Linked DNA regions of Diceros bicornis minor. The protein of the gene in region 1 interacts with the protein of each later gene in a biochemical or structural test. Links are inferred from orthologs where the notes say so. Each region holds a gene or a part of one and is shown in the gene's direction. Other genes may lie near its edges. The genes, in order: AURKA, OTUD7B, GADD45A and INCENP.

Region 1 (6,932 bases):
TAACTTCATATATAAACAATGTTTATTAGTATAACAAAAATTAAAAATAGAGAAGAAAAAATTAAAATGTCCTCATTCTATATCACCCAGAGATTATTACTGTTAACATGGCGGTATGAATTCTTCTAGACTTTTCTCCATGCATACAGTTGTTTCACTTAACAGAAATAGAAAAATAGAATTACACTACATAACATGTTGTGACTTACTTTTTCACTTAATCATACACAATAAACATCTGGCCAGCATAATAAATGTTCATCTACATCATGTTGTTGGATCTAATTTTATGGATATAAGAACATTCATAACTAATTCCCCATTGTTAGGCATTTCAGTTATATTCATTTTATATCCTCAGGACAAATTCTCACAACTAGCATTGCCAAGTCAAAGGGTATAAACATCTTCGGTACTTTTATACTTTACTGAGTGCTTTCTGTGACCCAGGTAAGCACCAGGATATACTTCTGAACAAGACAAGGTCCTGATCTTTATTGAGCCTGCAGTCTTTTTTTGGGGAGGTGTGGACTGTGTGGAAAACAACCCAAAACAATAAAGAAAATTTCAGACACTGATTCTGTTATGAAGAAAATGGGATTATTGTCTTAGAGTAACTGGAGAGTTATGTGGAAGATAGTCGGGTTATTTTAGAAGTGAAGAGGACTCTGAGATGACATTTGAGCTGAAACTTGAAGAAAGTCAATACAATGACAGAATGCTTCAGATAATTCGTATAAAGATCCTGAGGCTAGAACCAGCTCGAAATCTTTATAATCTGTACTTTGCTTACTCCTTCAATATCTAGCACTGTACTTGATACATACTAAAGGCTAAAACTAAAGAAATAATTTCGAAAAATTCTGACGTGTGAAAACATCTGAAACCTTGTCATGGGGTCAAGGAATTTGCATTCACAAGCTACCTAGTTTGATGAGATGCAGGAGCTGCTCTGAGGGCGCACAGACAGACTGAGGCTTGATTTCATTGATGAGGCCATTGGCAATGCTGATGTAGCCGTCATAGAGCAGCTGGCTAATGATCAGCTTGTAGAGCTGCTGGCGGTCCTTCAAGCCCACTTTGGTTCTGTACATCTTGAGGAACAGGAAGACAATTTGCCTGCCAGCTGCAAGAAGAGAAAACAGGTGGCCGGTGAAGGGCAGAGGCACTAGCAAACCACAGAAGCAACACAGGAATCTGGTCCCACTTGTAGGCTTAAATCCCAGCTCTACCAGCTGCAACATCTTTGGTCAGTGACTTCGTTTCTCTAAGATCAAGTTCCTCATCTGTTAAATAAGTTAGTGAAGGTTAAACAAGACGCTGCATTGAGCATAGTGGCAGAAAGAAATTATTCAAATCATGTTTGCTGATATTTACAGCAGAATGTCTCTTCATCAACTTTTCTTCTATGCCGAACTACTCACTTGCAATTTTTATTCTTTATTGCTATCCGAGAATCTTCCATTTCTTCTGTTAATAAAACAGTGACTGGTGTTTGCAATAGGTAAGACAGCTGCTATTGTCGATGTCTGGACAGTATTGTTTACACCAGCTGAGCTCTATGTTTACTAATACCAGTTATGTTCATTCTTAAAACATGTTTTAAAGTAACCGAGCTTCACATGAGCACAAAACAGCTATTATGCTATGAAAACAATGAAGCTGAATGCTTTCAAAGATTCAAAAGTGAACTGTTTAATAAAATACTGGCAAGTAGGATATGGCCAAGATAGCTTTAAAAAATGGAAAAAAATGCAAAAATCTGAAGGATTGTGCTCTTAGATCGATTTACAAGTGTCTAAGTTCTCCCTCAGTCTTAGAAAGTGAAACAGAAAACTGTAGATGATGGTTTCTGGTTTATGCCAAAAAAAAACAAAACAAAACTGCAATTGGTGGACATGGATAGAAAATCTGATTATCAAAAATTAATGTCTTTATGTATGTGTACATACGGACAGATCAGAAGACTGCAGGAGCCTAGGGACAGCAATAAAGAATAAAAGTTGTGGCAGAGAAGAAAACTGAAAGGCAGAGTACAGGAGAGAGATGAATATGAGAAAGAAGAGGAGGGAGTGAACACCAACATCAGTACCTCCTGGTACTGCTGTACTTTACAGGGGCGATTCTGAAAGCGGGGGAGGTGAGGGTGTTAGAGGAAAGGGGTGGGGAACCACGTTTTCTAAGTACACAACTCCCTCTGGAGAATTACTGAGGCTGCTGATCCTAAGAACAGCTAACATTCACTGAGCGTTTATCATGTTTTATCTCACCTAACCGGCAACACCATCTTATAAAGGAGGTCCTGTAATCTTGTTAACAGATGAGGAGGGGAAATAACTTGCCCATGGTCTCACAACTAGCGCCTGGAGGAACCAGGACTAGAACACAGGAGGTTTGACTCTAAAGACTGTCTCGTTCCTAACCACTACCTGCAGTGCTCCTCAAAAACTTAAAACTAGCTAAAATTTATTAGACATTCCGTACAGTATATAACATATACCGTGTAAGCAGCTAATATGCATTACCTCATTCAATCCTCATCTAATCCTATTTTAGAGACAGACAACCTGAGGTCCAGAGAGGTTAACTCAACTCAGGATGAAACAGCTTATAAACGGCAGAGCCTGAATCCTAATCCAGGCTACTTGACCCCAGAGCCGCCCTTCTTACCGGGCTGTACTGGTGGGTGTTAATAATAGCTAACATTTATTAAGCAGTTGCCAGACACCGTGCAAAGCACTTTATAAGCATTAGCTCACCGAATGAAATCATTAAATGTATTTAAGTACATGTAAAAGCAAACGTATATAAATCTATGCTTGCGTAGACAATACGAGGACACAATGGAGATTATGAAACCGGCTCAAAGGGGTTAGGAATCCCAGTGAAAAGTAAAATGTGGCTAAGTCGCCAAAGGTTCAAGTGGCCGCCAGGACTGCCCACACCAGAGCCCAGAGCTTAACCACTATTCCAGCCTGTCTCTTCATTCACGCCAGGAGCATCACGGGGGTATACAAAGAGATGAAGAAAAGAGAGGACACGCCCCGCTTCTCAACTCCCCTAGAACGTTCGCTCGCTGGGCTGGTTAGAGCCTAGTTACCAGCGCCAACTTGCAGGTGAGACCTCTGAGGCCCGGGGACAGGAAGAGCCCGACCCAGGACTGTTAGAGGAGTTGGAAGGGGGACCAGGGCGAGAGCGCAGGCGCCCCCTCACCGCCCGCTCCGCTACCATCCCGGCGCAGGGGCGAACTAAGGAGGGAGGGAGGGAAGGGACCAGGCCTTTGAGGAAAACGAGGCGGGTGCAAGCCCAGCCCGGCGACTCGGCACACGCCGCCCCGCTCGCTATCGACCTTTCCCGCCTCGCCCCTAGCCTTCCTGAAAGCCCAGCCCACCGCACCAGCCGCACCAGCCACCCCCGCCACGTATCCCGGGCCCCCTGTACCCGCTAATCCAGCTCTCCTGGTCTCTCGCTCTCTCCAGAAAAATGGATGCGCGACTCCTGCCCGATCGATCACTCCGAGCGCACGTTCACTGCGCACGCGCGCAGGAAGACGCGCCGAACGCTGCGCTATCGATCGGCACCACTCTCCCCTGCTCTTCTCGCCATCTTACCTACTAGCGCGTTCGAGAGGTTTGTTCACCTCCTCTGAATTTATCTTCTACGCGACAACCTTGACGCCAAGGGGCTGCTGTCGCACAGACAAATGTCGGATTCCGGAGAGCACCAAGGGCGGTAGCACGGCCAGGGGTCTGGCGGGCCGTTGGCTCCACCACTTCCGGGGCCTTACGGGGCAAGTGCGCCTGCGCGCCGTCTCTGCCCTGGACGTGACTCAAGCGTCGAGTTGGCTCTGAACCAATCAAAAGGCAGCGCCTCTCTAGCCCAGGCCAATCAGCTTTCGGATTAGAGGGTTTAACTCCTGTTTAAAATGAAGACTTTGAATTCTAACGGCTGAGTTCTCGGGAGGACTCGGCGGCCTTAGGTCGGAGGCAGGAGCTGACGGGTGGGTAGACCCTGGGGCAGCTCTGCAAGGCGGGCGGGCCCGGGAGGGTCCGGGTGGCCGGCCTGGGTGGGAGGGATGCAGCCAGTGGGTCCGCGGGGTCCGCGAGGGAATGGTCGGGGCGAGAAGCGCCCCCCCCCCGTCGCCCTCCGTCCCCAGGGTCCCTGTGCCCCCATCCTCCCCCATCCCCCTCATCCTCCCCCATCCCCCTCATCCTCCCCGTCCCCTACCTGTGCTTTCCCAGCGCCCTCGCATCTGCTTCTGGGTACTGAGGCGCCCTGAAGATGCTGCTTGATGTGTTCTGGAGTGGTTGGGGTGGTTGGGGGGTGGGGGGAGGGTGTGCTTTCAGATGGGGTTCTTGTATTCAGTGAGCATCGGGTAAGAAGAAACACAGGTTTTTGCTGTCTTGCAGTTGAGTGGGGGTGGGGAGACAGACTGCGAACTAGCAAGATAACATCCGAGAGTGGTGAGCCTTACGAAAGAAAACAGTCGTGTGGTTTACCGGGGGCTACTTGGGACAGAACAGCTAGGAAGGTCCCCTTTTCCTGGCTGGCTGGATGAGTGGGTGAATGAATAACCTGGAAGAGGCCTCCTGGGCCAGCGCTTCTCAAACCGTAGACCTTGGACCACCTATACGTCGGCATGGCCTGGGAGTCCTTGTCAAAAATATAGACCCACCTAATGAATCGGAAGCGCTCGGGCATAGGACTCAGGTGTCTGTCTTTTTATCAAGCTCTCAGGTGGTTCTGATGTGTCATTGAGAACTAGAGACCCAGACCAGCACATACTAGTCAACTGGATGTTAGAATGCAGGGTCTGAGTTGTTAGGTCTGGGGGTGGGCCTGAGAGTCTCCATTTCTAACAAACGCCCCCCTGTTGTAGGTGTAGCTACTGCCCTTGACTTTTAATGTCCCCTCCTCAACCTTCCTTGTTCTTTGAATTAAACACTTTTCAGCAACATACTTATTTCCTGTCCACTGTCCTTCATATACGCAGACATTAGTAGGTTTGACAAGGAAGGAAAAGTCTAACCCCACGGTGCTATTAAATCTAACAATTTTCCTGTTTAGAATAGTAGGATCTCTGGCTTGAGCGGTAGGGATCTTGTGAAGGTCGTCTGGCCATGTGGCTCCTGAACCTGGCTGTAGGCCAGAATCATCTGAGAAGCAGTCTCCCTGGGGCTCTCGCCAGAATTTCTGGGTCAGAATCTTATTCCCTTCTGCTTATCATCATTCATCTCCCTGAGAAGGAAACATATTAAATTGGAGCAAATTATCTGTAGCTTCTGTCAAAGACTGTTGAATAAATGTCCTTAGGGCTATGTGACTTCAGTAGAGCTGCTTGTAATTGTTAGGGAAAGTGAAGAAAGCATTAGAGTGTATGTGAAATGAACATTTTCATAACACAAGCATATGTTTCCTTTTTTCCTTTTTGTCTATTTCTACTAACCCACTGCTTAAAGTAAGGACTCCCAGCTCTTTAGCTGTGGTCCCATCTTCAAGGTGGAGTTATTTGCTTATTTATAAAATGAATGTGAAAGTGTAGGGGTGGGGAGCACTTTCTGATTGGATTCTAGAATTCGGAGAGCACTTGGGTAAGAAAAATACAGAAGTTTCTGCTTTCTTGGAGTTTATGTTCTACTTACTTGATAGGTGGTTGTACCTGAATCACCGTATGGGCTTACTAAGTGTTATAAACTATTTTTATTATTGATTTGCTTTGTTAATGGATTAATTCATTCTCAGAACATTGGTGTACATACTACGTGCCAGGCATGTTCTGGGGAGGCAGCAGTGAACAAAATGGGACTAAGCCCTTGTGCTCGTGGAGCTTGCTTGCTTTGGAGATACTGAGCAGGTAGCTGGATGTCTGAGTCTGGGGAGAGAGACAGTAAACAAGTGCAAGTGATGTTATGTAAGATATTAAGGAGTATGATGAAAAATAAAGGAGAGATGGTCTGAAAGGGGATGTCTGAGCAGAGACATGAATGAAATGAAGGAGTAAGCCACACTTCTATTAGGGGAAGAGCCTAATAGCGGGAACAGGAAGTGCAAAGGCCCTGTGGCAGGGACTTCTTTGAGGAAAGAAAGGAGCCCTGTATGGCTGGTATGCAACAGATAAGAGGAGATGAGGTCAGAAAGGTGGTCACGTTCCACATTCTTTGAGACTTTGTAGGCCTGTCTGTGCAAGTAGGATTTTGAATTTGGATTGGGGAACTATGAGGACCAACATATCTGACCTGTTAATGGGATCACTGGGCACACTGTTGCGAATGGTCCATAATGGGGCAACAGTGGAAGCAGAGTGACCATTGGGAGCCTGTTGCAAATAATTGAGGGGAGAGAATTGTGGTGTGAGCAGGTGGTAGCAGTAAAGGTCATGAGTAGTGATTTTTGAAGGTAGAGCATACAAGATATGCTGATAGATTACATATGGGGTTTGAGGGGGAACCGTGTAAAACATTATATCAAGACTTGACCTGAGCAGCTGGCAAGACGGATTTGCCATCAGCTGAGGTGGGGACTTCTGTGAGAACAGGTTTGGGGAGGTGGGTGGGAGGGAGCAGGACTTCAGGTTGGGACAGGTTAAAGTTGAGACGCCTCTCAGAGTACCAGGTGGAGATGTTGTGTAGGTGGTAGGAGTTAAGGGTGAGGTGTGAGCTGGAGATGGAAATTTGGAGGTCCTCAGCCTGTGGATGGTATTGAAAACCAGGAGACTGGATGAGCTCACCTAGGGAGTGAGTGTAGCTGGAAAAGAAGAGTGCTTTGGCCCTGAGCTCAGGGTGCTCCTGTGAGCAGAGGGGAAATGAAGTGTGGAGAGAAGAGGTTCCCTTTCAATGTGTTAGGATTGAGATGTCTGGTGGACCTTTCCGGGGGACCCTGAGCAGGTAATTAGATAACGGAGTCTAGCAGTCAGAGGAGAGGTTAGGGCAGAA
Region 2 (6,890 bases), on another chromosome or scaffold:
TGACTCTATTATAAGAGTGTGGTATGTACTGCCAAAGCAATGGTTCCCAACTGCCAATTCATTCATTCATTCACTCAGTAGATATTTAATGAATGATTGCTATGCGTCAGGCACTATGCTAGGCCTTATAGCTAAAATGGTGAATTTATCTTATGGAGCTTCACAATCTAATGGATGAAGAAAATATCAATAAAATAATCTACAAGAAAATGTAAATTTATAACTTTATGAAGGAACCCAGGATATTCATTTTCTATTTTTTTAATTGAGGTAAAATTCACACAGTGAAATGAACAGATCTTAAGTAGACAATTTGATATATATGCATAACAGCTACCCTATCAAGATATATGTATATACATTTCCATCACCCCAGAAAGTTCCCTATTGCCCCCTTTCTATTCAATCCCCACCTCTCCCCAGTAGGCAACCATGATTCTGATTTCTATCGTCAAGATTACTTTTGCCTGTTCTTGAATTTCATATAAATGGCTTCTTTTGCTCAATAAATGATTTTGAGATTTATCTATGTTGTTGTGTTTAAATGGAGTTCATTTTTAAAAATTGTATTCCACTGTTTGATCAATGTGTTTATCCATTTTTTTGTTGGTAGACATTTGAGATGTTTCCAGTTTGGACTATTATGAATAAAGCTGTTATGAACATTCATGTCTAAGCTTTTTGTAGGCATACATTTTCATTTCTATTAGGTAAATACCTAGGAGTGGAATTCCTGGGTCATAGGGCAGGAAAGTGTTTAACTTTATAAGAACTGTGGATATTTTAAAAATATATGGATTCATGGTCCAAGAATTCCCAGTTAGTCAGTCTGAGGTTCCTAGGCACATACATACAGGATGTAGTTTTTAAAACTCCACAGAACCACTAGTCTAAATTATAGTGGTGGTGGTAGAAAGGAAGTTATTTTGGTTTGGTTTTCTTTTACACCACAAAAGCATATGAATGCAAACAATTGCTGTTTTTTTCCTTCCTGGTTAGCTGCAAAATAGCTTTCTCTGAACATTCCTCCCTACTCTATCCATTAGCCCTAGTGTTGAAATAGTCTCTCCTTGTAGTTTCTCTGGTGAAATGCAAAGCTCTGTTTTTTTCTGCTCTTGCTTAAAGTGAAATGAAAGCTCAGAGAGCTCCTTGGAGCAGCCCTTAGAATTGCTAAAATGAGTAAACAAGAACAGGCCTTTAGGGCGGAAGAGAACTTTGTACTCAATGGCAGATGAGAGTGTGTGGCCCTAGGTACACTGGTAGGGTTTTCTGTGCTGCTTTTACTTTCTTTTCTTTCTATTCTTCTACCTGGCAGCAAAACATAATCAGCTGTGTTCTGGCTGCCCACAAGGACATTAGCCAGCTGTTTCTGAGCATTTAACATAGTGACAGCCCGAATGGCTGCACATCACTACAGAAGACGTCCCCAGTTTCTAGGCAAAGAAACGGACACATAGGAATAGGAAGGGAGTCACTTAATGGATTAGGGGCTGGCTGAGCTGGGACCAGAACCCAGGTGGCCTGGCTCCCAGCCCAGCTGACCACACTGCTACCCACACAGCCTGGGCTGACCCCAAACAAGCAGGCCATTGAGCAGTTGCACAAACAACAATGAATGATGGATGGTCAGAGCAAGAAACAGGCACAAAACAACTGCAACCCTATCACTTCCTGGCCCCTAAATTTCCAGGCAAGCCTGTAAACTGTAGTCACTTAAATGAGTTTGACCAGCAACTTGGCCCAGCTTTCAAATGTGGAAACTTTCTGTGGTCACTGCCAAAAGTAAAAGTCTTCCTTGTACTGAGGGTGGAAAGTGCCTTTGAACTCCATACCTGGTCCTAATAAGTCTGTGGTACTGGAGTTAAGACTAGAAAGACATAGTTAACAGATGGGCATAACCTGGTCCTGCGAGGGCCTTGGTGAAACAAGACAAATTTAGATTTTTGAGGCTCTTCATCTGTGGACCTGTCCTCCTACCCCAGATTTAGCTTGCACGGAGTGGGTGTGATCAGTGGAGTTCAGTTAGAATCAACATAGGAGACCAAGTCTCATCATAGGTGAGCAACGGGTGGCTGTGATCAGTGCAGTTCAGTTAGAATCAACATCAGGCGACCATGTCCTCCTCAGATTTGCTGCTGAACAGGACCCAAAATTCGTAGTCCCCACATGCTTGAAGCCCAGGCCAACTGGCTCTGCCTGCCAACCTGTATTGTTGGTCCTGGGCATGCCTCATGCAAGGCACTCTAACCTGCTCGGCCTTGGTGTGGCCCTAGGCCCAGCCCTAAATCTTCACCTCTAAACCTAAGGTATCTCAAAGAGATATAGCTGTCTAGGAAGTGTCCTGTTTCAGGTGTTGATTTTCCAGTCTTGAGCTGGCTAATTCTAAAATTCTATGCTCCACCCCTTCGGTTTAGAAACTGAGGATTTTAGAAAGTAGTGAGGAGATAGAAAAATCGGCTGTAATATTTGTTTTTTAAATAGGCCTAATGAGCACAACTGAAACAATAAACATTTTGAATACGCAGACCAGGTGCCAACATGTTAGGAATCTGAATTAAAATTTAGAATTTCTTTTTTTTTTTTTAAATTTTAGGGAGTTTATTTTATTTTTTTTGTGTGTGTGTGTGAAGAAGACCAGCCCTGAGCTAACATCCGAAGCCAATCCTCCTCTTTTTTGCTGAGGAAGACTGGCCCTGGGCTAACATCCGTGCCCATCTTCCTCTACTTTATGTGAGACACCGCCACATCACGGCCTGACAAGCGGTGCGTGAGTGCACGCCTGGGGTCCAAACCAGGTTCGCCGCAACAGAGCGCGGGCACTTAGCCGCTTGCGCCACCAGGCTGGCCCCAAAATTTAGGATTTCTTTGATCCCCAGGGGCTGGCCCCATTTTGTGTTTGTCATAAAGAGTATTTATTAAATGGCTCTTCTTACTTGAAACAGTCCACATTCTCCTAATATTTATTTATTCATTCAACAAATATAGAAGGTCTGCTCTGTGCCAGGCAAGGCTTATGTTCTCATAGCCATAGCTCATTGCAACTCACATACCACATACGCGACTTTTGCCTTATGTATGTATCATATGTATCATATACATACATATGATACATACATGTATATATGTATCATATACATACATACATATGTATGTGTATTTTACTAAAGTATAGGAACCTTGATGTTTGGAATTATGTCTTGTTCATTTTTGTGTCCCCAATATCAATGAGCACAGTGCCTTTCACATAGTAGGGACTAAATAAATATTTATTGAATTATGCTGTAAAGCTGTTAAAAGGCACTACCAAAAAAGCACTACATAACTTTTTTCGATTGTGCTAACAGTCTTAAGGCAGATATGTCAATAGGGTATCATCATAATGCAAATAAATATCGAGTGTTTATAGAGAAGGGTATGTTCACTTCATGAGTGAAGGAAGGAGAGCGCATAACTGGGTGGAGACTGTTAATTTTCCTCTGGTCGGTCCAGAATAATTGCCTACAGTAACTAGAATTTCAGTCGTCTCATTCTAAGTATTTTCATCCCTCTCACCTTTCGAGAACTACCCCGCCTCTTTCTGCTTCTTCCCAAAGGGCTGTAGCCAACTGACTCTATCTCAAAGTCTCAAGAGTCCACCCTGTACCCCTCCACCTTCGGTTCAAGAACTCTCCAGACCAGGGGCTTTAGGAACCCGGACCAGGAACACACGGGGTCACGCGCGGGGCAGGCGTCAAACTGGCCGCAGCTAGGGGAGCGGCGCTAAAGGCGGGGCTGCTACGGGCGGGGAGGGGCGGGGCGGGAGGAGGCCCGGGGGCGGCTTGGGTGTCACCACCAACCCGCTCCGGCCGGAAACTGGCGCTTGTTTCCGGCCGGACAGCCGAAAGCCACCGATCCTGAACCAGCAGCCGGAGTCAGAGTGGCGGCCGGGTGTGGAGCAGGCAAAAAGCCACTGGGGGAGGCCAGTCTCGATCAGTCCCATCTGGCTCCGACTCCTGATCCTGTGCGGACCAACAGCCGCGGTCGCAGTCTCCGCCACCGCCTCCGCCTCCATCGTCGTCGGGGGAGGGGCCGGCCGGACCCCGGGGTCACAGCCGAGGAATGAGGAGAGGCGGCCGGGCCCCGCGCTCCGCCCCGGCCTAGGGCCTTGCCCCGGGAGCCGCGAGGGTAACGGAGCCCCCCGCCCTGTCACCCTCCCCCGTCTGCTCCCGCCCCTCCCGCCTCTTCAGACTCCCGAACTCTGACCCTCAGATCTCCACTGTCCCCTTCTCCTTTCTGATGGTATTTCACCCGGAGCCGTCGTCTCCCGGGACCCCCTTCTCGCCCTCTTCTCGCTTCATCTCAGCCTTCCCCGGTTACTCCTCCCCTTCACCTGCGCCCCGCGGCCCTGGCCCCCGTTCCCGGCCTCCCTTCGCGAGCTGTGCTGGGCAGTTTGGACGGTCCTCTCGTCAGCTAGACTTTCGGGGAGGGATGGTGGAGTTTTAAGGTGTTTAGGAGTACAGGCTACTATCCCCATAGTAGGATAAAATTCATTTTGAAGTCTCAATATAAAAGTAAAGTGAAAACAAGCTTGTTCTCCCCCATTGATAGCTACACTGAGGTGCGTCCAGTAATGGAGGAAGGGAGCGAAAAGAAGTGTGTGTGTGTGTGTGTGTGTGTGTGTGTGTGTGTGTGTGGGCAGGCTTATGAACTTTAGAAAAAAGAAAAGTTGCCATGAGCCGATGGAAACTTTAGAAGCTGATGATGAGTAAGCCGGGGGCTGCGTGATCTCACTCCTCTTCTCATAATTACTAGGTTAACGGTGTGGCTCCGGTCGGGATGGAATGGGATTTGTTTACTGGCCCGCGTATTTTTAGCTTGTCGGCTCGCAAGGACCAGCGCTCTGCGAGTCAGTCTTTCTCTCTCTCTCTCTCTCTCCCTCTCTCTCTCTCCCTCCCTCCCTCCTTCTCACTCTCTGTCTCTCTCCCCCACCCTCTCTGTCCGTCTCTGTCTAGGTGGCTCCTCCGGGCACAATACAGATATAAAAATTAAGTTGAAAGAAGCTGACTAGTGAAATTTTCTGTAAGAGATTCTCCGCAAACTCTTCGGGGAGTTTTCTTTTCATGAATGTGAATGGAAGAATTAGCAGGACTTTGACTTGTAGTTTCCTCATCTTTTATAAGTATGTGTATAAAATGCTGTTTAGAAAATCAGAAGCTGGTGATTTTTCAGTCTTAGGCTTCTCTTACTGTCTATTTAGATCTTTGAGAAGACTGGATCCCTTTGTCTTTCAGAACCTATTTCTAAAGTGGGAAAGGACAAAGTGGTGAGAGGAGGTAGTGGTGAGGCTAGTCCAAGAGGGCAGCTAATCCTAAATCTTTTAAAAACGTTTTCTATGCTGTATAACTTTAAAAAGCAGTTAGAAAATTTCCTTCTTAGTAAATGAGATTGCATTCCTGATGGGATGGAAAAGACTGCAGGGACTTAGGCTGAGTGGCTAGGGAGAATCAGACTTGTAATTAAACATTTGCTTTGCATAATTTACAAATGAATACATTATAGGCAAACACTTATACTCTTTGTCCTCATTGTTTTTCTGAGCAGTTCTTTTAAAGTTTAGTAACCAACCTGCTGAGCTAGTCTATTGATATTTTGAAGGCTGAACAGAACTGTAAAATAAATGAAATTGATGTTGCTCATCTGGAAGCTGAATACCAGTCTGTTCTAATTTCCACTAGCTACCTGGCGTGCCTCCGGGCACCTCCCTGAATAAGTGGCCAGTTACTATGTACTTAGAGATTGCAAATGAATACAAATATTAGCTCATGCTAGGAATAATTGAGAGGGTAAATATGCTGAAAAGATATTCCAAAACTGAAATAGATTATTTTTCAATTTTTTCCATTTTGGTTTATCAGCACCTTTCTGCTGATAATTATCCATTAACATGAATAATTTAGAATTGAACAGATATTGGACATTGCACATTCAAGCAGAAAGAGGATGGAAGGAAGGTAGTTCCCAAACTATTACTAATTTTTTTGCTGTTGTTGCCTCGTTTGACTTATCCTTTTCGTTTAATGCCAGGCTCCCTTGTGAAAAAAAAAAAAAAGTAAACCTTTACCAAAGAAAAGGCTGTCTGCTGACTTGTATAAGGCAGGCTGACCAGTAATGAATGCTAATTGTTAGCTGGACTTTTGGTGGAGATATGTCACCAACAACTTGGAAATTTTCCTGAAGCTTTATTTCCTTAATCTCTTTCTTTTGGGATGCCTCTTGAAAAAAAAAATTTAATTTGGAGGGTAAAATCTAATTTTTAAAAATCACACATACCCTCCCAGAGTGTGTTGACTATCAATAATTGTTTTAATTTGTGAGTTGGTTGGTGCCAGTATTAGTGATGATATCTAGTAAATTCTAGTTATTTCTGTATTTATATCTGTATTCAACTTCCCCTGGTTGAACTACATATATTATTTTGGGGGTGGGGCTTGAAGGAATTGAGTAAACCCCAAGACAAGTGTAGGGCAGCCCAATAGCCCACCATTATTCCCAGTTCTCTGAAGGCTTTGTTTGGAATTTTGAGATTCAATGTACGTAACCAAGTGAATTATGATGGAATAACTCAATATTAAAAATAAGTTTTCAGATTGTTATGGGGGCACTGAGTGCCGCTGGTTAAAGTTTTAGAGCTCCTGAATGTCTCAAGCATGCTGAGGATGCTGACAGAAGACACTGTAAGGGGGCACCTCTCTTCTTACCCCAGACATTCATCCCATCAAGGAAAAAATCTTGAAACAATACTTTTAAGTGTGACTTTGGCAGCATTTTTCCTATAGGAACTTAGGACTTGTGGAATGGCAGACTGTGGAATCTTCTCAACAGCCCCTGATAGATTCAGATAATTAAAATCT
Region 3 (7,208 bases), on another chromosome or scaffold:
ACACATGACAAGATGGCATTAAGAGGATTGTACTAGGTTTTGATGCTATGAAACAAATTACCACAAACAGTGGTTTAAATTAACACTCATTTATTATCTCACAGTTTCTGCAGGTCAGAAGTCCAGGCATGGCTTAGCTAGGTTCTCTTGTCAGGGGCTCAGAAGGCTAAAATCAGTGTTTCCCAGGCTACATTCTCATCTAAAGGCTTGACTAGGAAAAGATCTATTTCTAAGCTCCCTCAGGTTGTTGGCAAAATTCATTTCCTTGCAGCTGTAGAATATGGAAGTTCACTTCTTCAAAGCCAGCAATGAAGAAAGAGAGTCTCTGATGCTTCCAATATCTCTTCAGAGAAGGCCTAGGCCCTCTTCTAAAGGGCTCACCTGATTAGATCAGGCCCACCTAGCATAATCTCCCTTTTGTTTAACTCAAACTCAACTGATTAGGGACCGTAATTACATCTGCAAAATCCTTTCACCTTTGCCATAGAATGTAATATAATTGTGGGTGTGATAGCCCAACATCATTGCCATATTCTACTCGTTAGAAACAAGGGATGGGTTCCGCCCACACTCGAGGGAAGAGGGTTATACAGAGCTTAACATCAGAGGTTAGAGATCATTGAGCCCATCTTACAATTTGCCTACCACAGTGATGGTCCAAGAAACTAAACATTTATGTTAAATTCAAATGCAAGTATTGATCCTAAGAAATGACAAATTTTTAGGTGACAGTAAATCTTGTCTGAATGGTCTTCTCTGGGGAAGAAATGAGGGAAATTCAGAGCCTGCCTTTAGAAACTAACTTCACCAGACTTATGCAAAAAATACATAAGGAACCTTATAATTTTTAACAATAAAATAGAATACAGAGTTCTAGGTAGTAGATACATCTGTTATAGTCTAATTGATCTCCTTTAATGTGAACAATGATCTAATACCAAAATAATAAGCATCATATTTCTTTCAGATGTTAAAGGATTGACTAATTTTTGAAAAAAAGAAAAGTTATCATTCTATACTATAGAACAAGTAGTAGGAACATATGCATACTAAAAGCGAAGAAAATATCAAAAAGACTCTTAATATGCAAAGTAAGTAGATGGCTAAAATAATTCAACAATTTTTGAGGACATATTTCCATCTGATTTCCAAATATAACCATTTGGCATCCTTACAAATATTACTACAAGGTCATTCTAGTCCTGTGCAGCTGAACTACTTGGAGCCACCTGGGGTGGTTTTAAAAATGATTTCACAGGGCCACCCCCGTGGCTTAGCGGTTAAGTGTGTGCGCTCCGCTGCTGGAGGCCCGGGTTCAGATCCCAGGCGCGAACAGACACACCGCTTCTCCGGCAATGCTGAGGCTGTGTCCCACATACAGCAACTAGAAGGATGTGCAACTATGACGCACAACTATCTACTGGGGCTTTGGGGGGAAAAAATTAAAAAAAAAATGATTTCACATATTGGAGTTATTTTTAAAAATACATATATGTGTGTGTGTTCTATACTAATCTAGGGAAATTCCTCTGGTTTATCATTGGATACCAACTTCCCACTGGCCTGAGGAGCATTTATGAAATATATCATCTATGACCATCCTAATATATAACTGCAATCTAACTGGAGCTAAATGCAGCTTCTACTTGCAGCCATGAGGACCAGCTTCGAAGATCATCACTGATGAAACATTCTAGGTAGACTCAGCAATGAGGCAAAATGATGTAACATATCTGAGTCAGAAAATATGACAAATGAATATTTTTGAATACTGGAAGGCTAGGCTTATCTCAGAGAGCAACCGACAACACTGGAACAAACCACTTTCCCATGAAGCCACAGACAGCACGCAGGGTAGCTTCTGAGTGAGGGTCTAGGCCTGTATTAAGAAATAGCTCTTTTATACCACATTTTTACTGCACAGCATTGTCTTGGGTGAGGTATTATTAGGGCTGTGGTTCATTTGAATTGGCATAAACAATACACGGGTTCTACTGTCCTACAGTTTCCGTTCAGATGACTAAAGTCATGGGACTTCCAGCATAGCTAGCTGATGACAGTGCATGCTATTTTGTCCCAAAATCCAGTCCAAGCATGGACATACCAATTAAATGGTAAGCTCTTTAAAGGCAAAGGACCAGGAATTGTACAGTTCTTGGTACATAGTAGATCAAAGAAGTTTTTTCGAACTAAAGATAAATGTGGAATATCTTAGAGAGAATTCATGCAATGCACAGGACTGCAGGATTCTGAGATCTTGTTCAACTCAATAAACATTGACTGTACTTCTCCTAAATGCAGAAGTTGGGCTGGGTGCCAAGAACACCACGGTGATGAAGTCACAGTCCCTGCTGTCAAGAAACTCACATGCATCCCTAATTCTTTTTCAGTTTGCTGTGATCACACTTTCTTCCAAAGAACCTCTAAGAAACGCCTAGTGGATAGAACCTTGGAGTTCCATGGAACACGGTTCAATAGTCTCCAAATGATGACTCAGGCCAGAGTGTATAATTCAGGGTTTGTTCGAAAAACTTCAGAACCCACCTGAATTTCAATTTTAAGGAATTCTTTAACAAAGACACTACACATTACGATTTAAGGTATAGAAATGAAATACACAAGCACCCTTGGGTAAATTATGCATTGGCCACCACCATTCCAAAACATTGTCCCTTGCTGACAAGGCAGTTAGGGATTAAGTGCAAAAAGGCAGCTCAAGTAAATGAGCCAGAAAACTGAACTCTCACTTTTCTTTTCCACTAAATTAAGATCAAGAGAGCTGGAGAATATTTTGTCTAGAATGATACAAACATACGGGTGCAAAAACTCCCATGTACCTTTGCAAAAAATGACTTCTGTGACCTTTAACTATACAGTGACCTTAATAATGCAAGCGTTGTTTTGAATGGAAGCATATGGGGGGAATTTTCACCTCTTCTGGTGACTTGAGTAGGTTTAAGACATGTTTTTGCACTTATTGTATAAACTCATAAAACAAAGGGAAGAACTTGCAACGTATTCGGCGAAAGTCTACACATTAAAGTTTGCTTTTCAAAAATGTGTAACTACTGCTTGCTTTCCACCCACAGGTCGCCATTATCTCAAAGGTGAAATTTTAGCATATGACTAAAAGGTCCTATGGCTGCTGCTTCATGATTCAGCACTGGCCATCAATAATTCACTGTGAGATCACAGGCTCTCTGGGGAGGGCAGTGACATACTTGCCTCATGAAAGGAAGCTTAGGGCATATTGAGAGCATTCTGAATTTAGACTCGTGGCTTATGTGGGTGTCAGACATTTGTCTCTTAGCTGGTGCCGGTTCAGAAGGATCCTCCTTTGGGGAAGGCTCTCTGAGAAAGGTGAGCTTGGGTTGAAGGCCAGGATACACACGTGTGGTAACCAGCTCCCGGTGAACATGGTTTCCCCGAGTTACCCTGGGCAGGTGGGAAGCCCTTCTGCTTTCTGCGGAAAGGATTCCAACTTGGTTCCCTGCCACCACCCAAGACAAATGTGTTGATTTTTCTTTTTTGAGCTTCCAACCCTTGCAACCTTCCAAAAATAAATCAAACCAGCCATCAGGGCACCGAAATAATACTACTACTAATAAGCAGCTTTGCCTGGACTTACACAAACAACACTTCTGAGGTAACTTTGCTCCGGAGGTCTGGACACACTCTTTTTATGTAAACTGCTTACTAATAATTACTGGACTTGGGTGCATTAACCCCGAAAACAGATTTTAATAGCAACCCCTAAAAACAAAAGACATGAAACGACAATAAAAAAAATGTGCACCAACTGAGAAAAACACTTGGCAGCCTGTTCCAGCCCAAGCTGAAGACAACCCGCTTTCCCTCCCCCCGTGCAAAGACCGCCTCTCCTTTGGGCCCCGCCCACGGAATAAGAGTCCGCTCGGGACCCCGCCCCCGCCCCGCCCCCGCCCCTGGCTCGCCTTCCGCGTGGCTCCTCCCCCTTCCGCTCCTCTCAGCCGCGGTCCGGGAGCTCGGGTCAAATTGTCGGAACATGCTGATTTGCATAGCCCAATGTCTGCGCGTATGCAAATGAGGCGGGCGTTGGTTGGCCGGGGGTTGGCAGGATAACTCCGGCGAGCGGCGCCTTTGTCCTCCAGTGGCTGTGAGGCAGCAGCCGGGTGGCAGTCGCGGCTCGCGGCGGGGCGAGTGGCCGGGGGCGGGCGGGAGGGCTGACGGCGCGGCGGCGGGGCGCTGGAGCGGCCGGGGCCGGAGTGCAGACAGCCGGCGCCCGCGCGCGCTCGGTGGCAGGAGCAGCCCGCACGCCGCGCTCTCTCTGGGGGGAACCTGCAGTTGCAATATGACTCTGGAGGAATTCGCGGCTGGCGAGCAGAAGACCGAAAGGTGAGTGGGCCGACTGGCCCCGGGGGGACCTCGGGGGGCCTCGGGGGAGTGCCGCCGGGCTCCGGGAGGTTTGCGTGGGGCGAGCGGTGAAAAGTTTGCGGAGCGCACCTCCCTCCCGCCTTTCTCACTCGGGGACCCTCCCAGGGGCGCCCGCGGACGGAAGGAGCGTGCCCCCCAACCCGGCCGACCCCTCGGGGCTTTGCAGAGGGCACAAGCGACCGTCCCTGCGGTGCAGCTGCTGCGGCGGGCAGCCTGTGCCTGCGCCCAGCCCGGGACTGGCAGTGCCCTCGGGGAGGGTGGCGGGTGACACTCTCGGGGCTTCTCCCCGGACCCCGGCCTCTGGGCGTGCGAGGGGTCGTGGGGGTGCCGGACCGGGGCGCCCGGGTTTGCAGAAAGCTGAGGTGCGCGGGGGCACGCGCTCGGGGGGAAGGTCGCGGTGCGGGTCGAGGGGCGGCGACGGCCCGAGGGCACCCGGGCTGACGGGACCCCTTGCTCTTGCCGGCGTGTAGGATGGATAAGGTGGGGGATGCCCTCGAGGAAGTGCTCAGCAAAGCCCTGAGTCAGCGCACCATCACGGTCGGGGTGTACGAGGCGGCCAAGCTGCTCAACGTGTAAGTGGGGCCCTCGCGTGTCCCCCGTGGCCCCCTGCGCGCCCCAGCCCGGGAGGCGCCCTCGCGGGGCGCCCCTCGCCTGCACGCCGCTGTCCATCCGCGCGGCGGCTGCCTGCCCCGGCGAGCGAGCGGGCCGGGCGCGACCCCCGGGACCCGGGCGGTGCGGGCGCGCGCGGGGGTCGCGCCTCGGCGCTCACCCGCACCGCCCCTGCCCGCAGCGACCCGGATAACGTGGTGCTGTGCCTGCTGGCGGCGGACGAGGACGACGACAGGGACGTGGCCCTGCAGATCCACTTCACCCTGATCCAGGCCTTCTGCTGCGAGAACGACATCAACATTCTGCGCGTCAGCAACCCGGGCCGGCTGGCCGAGCTCCTGCTCCTGGAGCCCGACGCGGGGCCCGCGGCCGGCGAGGGCGCCGCGCAGCCCCCGGACCTGCACTGCGTGCTGGTGACGGTGAGGGCCAGGGCGCGCGCCGCCGCGTGCGAGGCCTGGGAGGAAGTGGGCCGGGGCGAGAGTCGCCTGACTGCGGGTCGGGCAGGGGTGGGGGTCACGAGCGGGGCCGCCTTTGCCCCATTAAAGAGAGCGGCTGGACTTTCAGCCGAGATGTGCTAGTTTCATCATCGGGATTTTCTCCCGTACGGAACATGTCTGAGCACGTTGGAGGCTGCCAGCCGCGGAAGAGATCCTTGTGAGTCAGCAGAGTCAGCCCAACTACTCCCTACCTACATCTGCACTACCTCCCGTGACTAATTCCTTTAGCAGGGCGGATTAGATAAAGCCACATAAATTCCTGGCTCACCCTCATTAAGGAGTCAGCTTCATTCTCTGCCAGTCAAAGCTAAAAATAGAAACGGTGTAGGAGACAGACCTTATTAATTCCCTAGAAATACATTAAGAGGATAGAGTGGAAATTTTTCCTTTGCAATCTTGCATTTTTTTAATGGAGCTTTTTTCCTAATTAAAAACCTTGGGTGGGTAAATAACTTGTGTTTTCAGAGGTAAATGAGATTTTACATCATCTTTTGTTTTTACATTTTACTGTTTTTTGGCTGGTCTAGCTAAGTGGCAGCCTAATTATTTTGCTACTCCTGAAGAATATGACTCCACCTTTTGGGAGGATAACAGGTGGTGACTGGGTGGTGACTGCTGTGCAGCTCTGTCTCATTGTATGAACGGCAGGGAAATGTTTCTCAAAGTCATTTTACTCAGGTCTCTGCCATAGTACAAGTTTGTTAGCAGGAACCTGTGAATGATACCCTCATGCAAAACTGAATAAATAGTATCATGCAAACATATGTAGATGGCTCAGTGGGTTGCGTGCTTCAGACTTTGTAGAGTATAGGTTAGGGGAGAATTACCTTTAATGATTTTGCAGGAAACCTGACTACCTGGAAGAAATGTTATTTTTTATGGCTGTAACTGGTCTTCATGTCATGCAAAATATAGAATGTTGAAGTGTCTTCTGCTCAAAAGTAGTGTAATTATTAGCAAATGCTGATTTTTTTTTAATAGTCAATTTATTTTTCGAAATTTGTTCCCAGAATCCACATTCATCCCAATGGAAGGATCCCGCCTTAAGTCAACTTATTTGTTTTTGCCGGGAAAGTCGCTACATGGATCAGTGGGTCCCAGTGATTAATCTCCCTGAGCGGTGATGGCATCTGAATGAAAATAACTGAACCAAATTGCACTGAAGTTTTGAAATACCTTTGTAGTTACTCAAGCAGTTACTCCCCACACTGATGCAAGGATTACAGGAACTGATGTCAAGGGGCTGAGCGAGTTCAACTACACGTTCTGGGGGCCCGGAGGTAGATGACTTTGCAGATGGAAAGAGGTGAAAATGGAGAAGGAAGCTGTGTTGAAACAGCAATACAAGTCACAAGGAACAAAAGAGACAACCACGCAGGAAGGAAAACAAACTATGTATTAATTTAGGATGGTTGAGTTACAGTTAAATAAACCAAATACGCTTTGTTCAAGTTCAAATGTGCAGCAGTAGTTTGGGTATTTTTGGTTTGTATGCCCTCAAGTAAAAGAAAAGCAGAAAGGGTTAATCATATTTTAAAACCATATTTTATTGTATTTTGATGAGATGTTAAATTCTCAAAGTTTTATTATAAATTGCACTAAGTTATTTTATGACATGAAAGGTTATTTATGCTATAAATTTTTTGAAACACAATACCTACAATAAAATGGTATGGAATAATTGCATCA
Region 4 (6,940 bases), on another chromosome or scaffold:
GGGGAGATGTTGGTCAAGTTGTACAGTTTCAGTCATGCAAGATGCATAAGTTCTGGAGATCTAATGTACAGCCATGTAATATAGTTAGCAATACCGTATTATATACTTGAAATTTGCTAAGAGGGTAGATCTTAAGTGTCCTCATCAGAAAGAAAGAAAGAAAGAAAGAAAGAAAGAAAGAAAGAAAGAAAGAAAGAAAGAAAGAAAGAAAGAAAGAAAGAAAGAAAGAAAGAAAGAAAGAAAGAAAGAAAAGAAGAAAGAAAATGGTTAACTATGTGATGCATATGTTAATTAGCTTGGTTGTGACGATTATTTCACAATGTGTAAGTATATCAAAACATCATGTCGTACACCTTAAATATATACAATTTTTATTTCTCAATTATACCTCAATAAAAATGGGGAAAAAAGATATACAAAAAAATGGATCATGATGGATACTAAATTGCTATGGGGGGCCCCTGTGGCTTAGCAGTTAAGTGCGCGCACTCCGCTACCAGCGGCCCCGGTTCAGATCCCGGTCGCGCACCTACGCGCCACTTGTCAGGCCATGCTGAGGCCACCGTCCACATACAGCAACTAGAAGGATGTGCAACTATGATGTACAACTATCTACTGGGGCTTTGGGGAGAAAAAGAGAAAAAAAAAAAAAAGGAGGAGGATTGACAATTGATGTTAGCTCAGGGCCAGTCTTCCTCAGCAAAAAGCGGAGGATTGGCATGAATGTTAGCTCAGGGCTGATCTTCCTCACACACACACACAAAATTGCTATGGGATTTTGAGTGTATTGAACACATTTAAAAGAGTGATGAAAGAGTTTTATTTCAGAATGTCACGATTTACAACACGCTGAAAATTACATCCTTTGCGACCATTTAAATGAGGGAAAGAATTTAAAGGGCAATTTAAAAAATGTGTACGTAGGCTTTAAGATTTTCTTATTGGATGCTAGAACAAAACTATTTGAAGTCTACGGTAGGACTCTGGACTTTATCTCTCTTTGCTCTACAGACCTAGAGCTCCCAGTTTCTCCTCTTGGGCAGATGTTAGGAGGGTTTTCTAATCTCACAGGGAATCCACATTTCGGACCTCACTTTTGTCTACAAAGGGCCTGGCACTGGAGGGCTCACTGCTTTCCAGAACATTCCATCACAGGCTTCTTTATGCTAATCTCTACCTGTGACTTCTTCTGCTCCATTTCACTGTCAGAAATCCATCTCCAATATCCCAACATGGACTGTAAACTCCATGAGGGCAGGGTCACCTGTGGTAGGCTCACTGCTGTGTTCTCAGCACAGTGTCTGGGACACAGTGGGCATGCAAAAGTTATTGAAATTGAATTAAGAGGGGCAGCTGATTTTGCAGGGGAAGTTGTTGTTATACACATGCAGAGTTGGAGATATGGGCTGACAATTCGGGTAAAACCCAGGAGAAAGTCTAATTAATTCATTTTTTTGTGGGATAGGCTTTCTGTTATTTGAAGGCAGTTAAATAAATCTCTTTTCTCACATCTCTTAAATTATTCTTTGTAAGGAGAAGGCAAGCTCTTCCAGACACGTGAGGTTTTTTTTTTTTTTTTTGGTGAGGAAGATTGGCCCCGAGCTAACATCTGTGCCAATCTTCCTCCATTTTGTATGTGGGACGTCACCATAGCATGGCTTGATGAGTGGTGTGTATGTCTGTGCCTGGGATCTGAACCTGCGAACCTTGTGCCACCAAAGCACAGTGTATGAACTTAACCACTATGCTACTGGGCTGGCCCCGAGATGTGAGGTTTGATTCTAGTTCTTTAGCTATGGTATCTTGACAGGTTACTTGTCCTCTCTTTTCATCAGTTAAAATAGAGATAAAACTTTATAGCTTGCTGTGAGGAGATAAGGCATGGAAAAGCGCTCAGAAGGAGGACTGTCATAGAGTGCGCGTTCAGGAAGTGGTAGCTTGGAGATAAGGTTCAGCTCTTCCTATCCTGGTTGTTTCTTCTTAGGTTTAACTCCACTAGGTCAGTGTTCCAGGGTAGACACAGGCCCTAGAGCTGGGCAGAGTACAGCAAGACTTCTCTCCTGCGTTCAGCACTTTCCTTTCCTGTTCACACCCCTAACTTCGCTTTAACGTGATTTAGGGGTTGAAACTGTGGCAGTACAGGACATCTCCTTCAGAGATGTCCTTCAAGTAAGAGAGACATGAGAGCCAAAAAAGAATCTGGGTGGGGGTGTAGCTATTGTTCTCCTGAGAAAGGAGACAGTGGAACTAGACCAGAACTGAGTACATTTCATCACAAGGGGTAGAAGGTTCAGAATAAAGCAATGCCGCAGAAACGGAGGAACTGCAAAGATGATCCAGCTTAACTTTTTTTTCTTTTAAATTGTGGTTAAAACATAACACGTAACATAAAATTTACCATCTTAACCATTTTTAAGTACATTACAGTATGTTACCTGTAAGCACATCCTTGTGCAATGGATCTCTAGAACATTTTTTTTTTTTTTGCTGAGGAAGATTTGCCATGAGCTAACATCTGTCCCAGTCTTCCTCTATTTTGTATCTGGGTCACCGCCACAGCACGGCTGCTGCTGAGCCATGTAGGTCTGGGAACTGAACCCAAGCCACTGAAGTGGAGCCTGCCAAACTTAACCACTAGGCCATGGGGCCAGCCCCTCTAGAACTTTTTCATCTTGCAAAACTGAAACTCTGTATCTGCTGAACAACTCCCCTTTTCCCTCCTCTCCCCAGCCCCTGACAACCACTACTCTACTTCCTGTTTCTAAGAGTTTGACTGCATTAGAGACCTCATGTAAGCAGAACCATGCAGTATTTCTCTTTTTGTGACTGGCTTATTTCACTTAGCATAATATCCTGAAGGTTCATCCATATTGTAGCAGATGACATGATTTCTTTCTTTTAAAAGGCTGAATGATATTTGATTGTATGTATATGCCACATTTTCTTTGTCCACTCACATACTGATGGACATTTAGGTTGTTTCCACCTCTTGGCTATTGTGAATAACGCTGCAATGAGCATGGGTGTACAAATCTCTCTCGGAGATTTAACTGCCTTATTCTACAAGTGATGGCAGCCCTGACTCACAGTGGAAAGTGACTGTCTAAAGCAGAGTTTCTCAACAGTGGCCATACTGGCATGCTGGGCTGGATAATTCTTTGCCCTGGGGGCTGTCCTGTGCCCTATAGGGTGTTGAGCAGCATGGCTAGCCTCTACCCAGATGCCAGTAACACCCCGCCCTCCCCCAAAAGAAACCTAAAACGTATTCATACATTGCCAAATGGTGCGGCAAAATCGCACCCGAATGAGAACCACCGCTGCAAAGGGTACACTCAGGGCCAGTATAGATGGGACACAGGTTGCTGTCGTCCAAGAGATGACAGAGGGCTCTACGTAAATAAAAACTCCGGCGCGATCTACAGAGCGTTTTACTTCTCAAAAATGGCAGACGTGGGAAAGATGTTATCCTGTATGCAACAGAAAGCTGGAAGAAGAAATTGCAATGGGCAAGTCTCCCGGGACGAGCACGACTTGCGGTTATAAGACCTCCGACCCCACCAAGGCCCCCAAAACGCTTCCCAAACCCGACCAGAGCCTTCGCAGTGCACGCTGGGGCTTGTAGTTGCGGCGTGCGAGCGTCTGCGCGCGCATCCCCCACCTCCGGCGACTTCCTGTATCGGTCGCGGGATCCGAACAGCAGCTCCCGGAAGCTGAGCAGGTTAAAGTTTCAACGCTTCCTTTCCCCGCCTCTTAGTCCCGCAGACTGCCAACCCAGGTAGCCAATAGGTGGCCTGACTGGCACTTCCTTTTACCTGATTGGCTTAGAGTTTTGCATCCGCCCAGACAAACTTGCCGGGGATTGGTCGAAGCTTCAGTTTTGAAAATCGTAGGTTTTCGCCCGCGCTGCACCGCCCATTGCTTCCCCCGAGCCTGAGCCCTGGACGCCGGGAGCCGAGGGTCTGGGCGGGCCGGGGCCTGTGCTAGGGAGGCCGCTGGACTTGGATCGGAGCAGCACTTAGGAGACGCAGGGCAGTAGAGTAAGTGCGCGCGGGCAGCCGGCGGTGGTGGGAGATGCTTAGAGATTTGTTACCCCTCCCGCCAACTCCGGACCGGGGGCATGACCCCCGTCCCCCGCCGCCCCTTGTGGCCTGGAAATGGACGGGTCACCTCTTCCAAGTGGCGAGGTGACCTGCCTTAGTCCCGGGGCCGGAGATTACCCCCACCCTCCATCTAGGTCACCAGGTTCTGAGAGAATAGTTCGGTCCCCTCCCCTTCTCTGGTGCCCAGCTCCTTGTGTGCCTAGGAAGCCCTTTGTTGACCTGGATGCGTAGGAAGCGCACACCGACCGGGTCGTGGACCGAATTATGCCAGAGGGCATTTCTGTACAGTTAACCTTCGCTCAACACCTCCCCCTCGGCTGAGCGGCATTTTAAACGGACCATTTCCGGAGGCCAATACTGCTCCTATGTGCCCCTATGCCAGTGCACTCCCCAACCACGTTTCGCTGTCAGTTTGGCTGTTCAGTTTCATCCAGCCACCGTGGCCTTCTCTGCGGGGTGCCCAGAGCCAAAACTTGGCGCCTGCCTTTCGGAGGCTGAAATCGAGTAGGCGGCTTCGCTGTGGTTAGGGGCACAGTTTAAATTCAGGCCTCACCCCCGACATACCGGGTGACCTGACTTTGACTTAACTTCTCTTTGCCTCAGTTTCCTCATCTGCACATGGGTATCCTTCAGGTTGTGGGGAGAATTAAATGAGATAATGCCTGACCTGGGCACGGAGTAGGACTTCGTAAATGGGAGCAGCTGTTATGATGGTCCTTCACTGAGGTGGGGTTGGGTGCCCAACTTCCTGCACCCTCAAAGGAACAGGCATTGCAGAGGCGGGCGGGGGGTGGGGGCCCTGTAGTCTGGTGTGTGGTGTGAGGGAAGTATTGGGAGAGAAGGATGAGCTCCCTTCTCCCTTGATGGGATGTTAAGTGCTCTGGATTTGTGCACAGGTTCTTATACGGGCTGAAGATGAGATTTTTGCTGTTCCTTCCAGGAGCCTGATTCTTAGTACCCTGATTCCTCCTTTCTCAGAGTCACCTCTGTTCTAATGTACAGTGACCTTTTTTAAATAGCCAAGCTGACGTCTGCTAAAAACAAACTTTGCCATGGAAGAAGCTCAAACACTTTTTTTGCACTTTGTGAAGGAAGCTCTCGCCCACTTTGCTATTTGGAACTAATACTTTAAAAAATAAGATGGCAAGTTGTTGCTTTCTGTAGCTCCTCTGCAAACCTCTGTTTTGGTTTTGGCTTCCTTAAACAATTTTCTCATAACTGGCCTCGAACGGGGATCCTGCACTTTGCTAGGGCTTAGCACTGGGGCAGAGGGGCCGGGGGGAGCAGAGGGATGGCAGCGGAGAGGCGGAGCCCATGACTGGCTGGCTGCAGAGCTGTCTGTGCCCGAAGCCTCTGCCATCTGTTTGGCCCCACCCCGATTAGTGCTGCCCTTGGCATCTAGGAGCAGTGGCTTTGGATGAGTATGGTGTGCCCTAACCTGTATAGAGTGAGCTCATGTGGTGTCTCTGAGTGTGTGTGTTGGGGCGGGGAGGAGGGAGTACCTGCAGGGTGTTTATTTCTAAGTGGATTAATTCATTGAGCAAGTATTCCTTTTGTGCTGGGCTCTGAGCTTTCAGCTACGAACCAGACAGACAAGGGCTTGCCCTCTGGGAGCAAAAGTTTAGTGAGCAGAGACAGGCGTAAGTAAACAGATACACAGTCACCCAAGTGCCATGCAGAGAATTGAAATCGATGGATGGGATCATGACTGATGGTCAGGGCCTCCCTGAGTTGCTGAGATCTGTGTGATGAGGAGTGAGCTGTACAAAATAGGAGACAGAAGGTTCCAGACAGAGGGCAGAGTTTGTTCAAGGAACAAAGGCTAGTGTGCCCTGGAAATCAGGCCCCAGGAAATCCCATGAGGCTGCAGCATGACCTGTTAAGCTCTATAAGCTGTCAAGGGGTCAGTGACTTAGCCCCTCCTTCTAGGAGCTTCCATCTTAGGTGGGAAGCCTGACCTTTGCATGGTTCTGGGTTTTGAAGATCTGAGTGGTGGGTCACTGCCATGGCATGAGACACGCAGTCTGTCATTACGACTAATGACCGTCACCCGTTCATTTATTCTTTCATTCATTCACCCAGCAGTTGGATATTTACTTATATTTACCCTGCATGACTAATGTAACACTTCTTCCTTGCCTGGGGCTTTGGTGATGATATTATAACCAAGTCTTGAGGAGGATACCTGAGCTGCTAGTTTTTTGAGAAATTAAGAGAAAACTGGTTTTGTATTTTCCCCTGCCTGATATTTCTCGACAAGTTTTCTTAAAAACAAGACATTGCTTATCTGCTCCCCTCATGCTCCCTCATCCATTTCTAGGGCATTTCAGCTCAAGGGAGAGGGTGAGGGAACCCCTTGGAGAGGAGCATGCCTCTGGACCCCTACTTTTTTTTTTTTTTTGGTGAGAGAGACTGGCCCTGAGCTAACATCTGTGCCCATCCTCCTCTATTTTATATATGGGACGCCACCACAGCATGGCTTGATGAGCAGTGTGTAGGTCCATGCCCAGGATCGGATCCTGTGAACCCCGGGCTGCTGAAGTGGAGTGCGCAAACTTAACCACTACGCCACTGGGCCAGCCCCTGGGCCCCTACTTTTCTTACTGACTCCTTTGGAAAGCAAAACCCCTTCTTTCACTGGGCTCTTGAAGAGGCAGTTGGCTCCCATGTTCTTTGGCCTGATGCCTGGGGTCAGCTCGTGTGTAGCTCAGGGTAACTGTGTCTTAGTCCTTGCTCACCCACAGGTAGTAAGAGGAGAGCGCGCAGGAGAGTAAGAGCACCTTGTGTTTGGGCAGGCAGAGAGGGGTCCTGTGGTGGCTGAAGTTTCTCCCTCATCCAAG

What was found.
Region 2: of the proteins of AURKA (region 1) and OTUD7B, one has a biochemical effect on the other in vitro, tested with the Homo sapiens proteins (2 studies listed by BioGRID, with this or other methods). The link is inferred for Diceros bicornis minor from reciprocal best matches to the Homo sapiens genes AURKA and OTUD7B.
Region 3: the proteins of AURKA (region 1) and GADD45A form a complex in vitro, tested with the Homo sapiens proteins (2 studies listed by BioGRID). The link is inferred for Diceros bicornis minor from reciprocal best matches to the Homo sapiens genes AURKA and GADD45A.
Region 4: the proteins of AURKA (region 1) and INCENP form a complex in vitro, tested with the Homo sapiens proteins (3 studies listed by BioGRID and IntAct, with this or other methods). The link is inferred for Diceros bicornis minor from reciprocal best matches to the Homo sapiens genes AURKA and INCENP.

What each region holds. Positions count from the first base shown.
Region 1 is NC_080758.1:6,940,497-6,947,428, forward strand, and holds the start of AURKA (aurora kinase A), read left to right. Parts: upstream 1-3,917; 5' UTR 3,918-4,000; intron 4,001-6,932. Other genes in the region: CSTF1 (cleavage stimulation factor subunit 1), read right to left, coding at 926-1,094. UniProt on the Homo sapiens protein: Mitotic serine/threonine kinase that contributes to the regulation of cell cycle progression.
Region 2 is NC_080743.1:54,538,893-54,545,782, reverse strand, and holds the start of OTUD7B (OTU domain-containing protein 7B), read left to right. Parts: upstream 1-3,880; 5' UTR 3,881-4,164; intron 4,165-6,890. UniProt on the Homo sapiens protein: Negative regulator of the non-canonical NF-kappa-B pathway that acts by mediating deubiquitination of TRAF3, an inhibitor of the NF-kappa-B pathway, thereby acting as a negative regulator of B-cell responses.
Region 3 is NC_080743.1:6,451,681-6,458,888, forward strand, and holds the start of GADD45A (growth arrest and DNA damage-inducible protein GADD45 alpha), read left to right. Parts: upstream 1-4,207; 5' UTR 4,208-4,330; coding exon 4,331-4,374; intron 4,375-4,883; coding exon 4,884-4,985; intron 4,986-5,203; coding exon 5,204-5,441; intron 5,442-6,529; coding exon 6,530-6,643; 3' UTR 6,644-7,208. UniProt on the Homo sapiens protein: In T-cells, functions as a regulator of p38 MAPKs by inhibiting p88 phosphorylation and activity.
Region 4 is NC_080770.1:11,224,095-11,231,034, reverse strand, and holds the start of INCENP (inner centromere protein), read left to right. Parts: upstream 1-3,922; 5' UTR 3,923-4,037; intron 4,038-6,940. UniProt on the Homo sapiens protein: Component of the chromosomal passenger complex (CPC), a complex that acts as a key regulator of mitosis.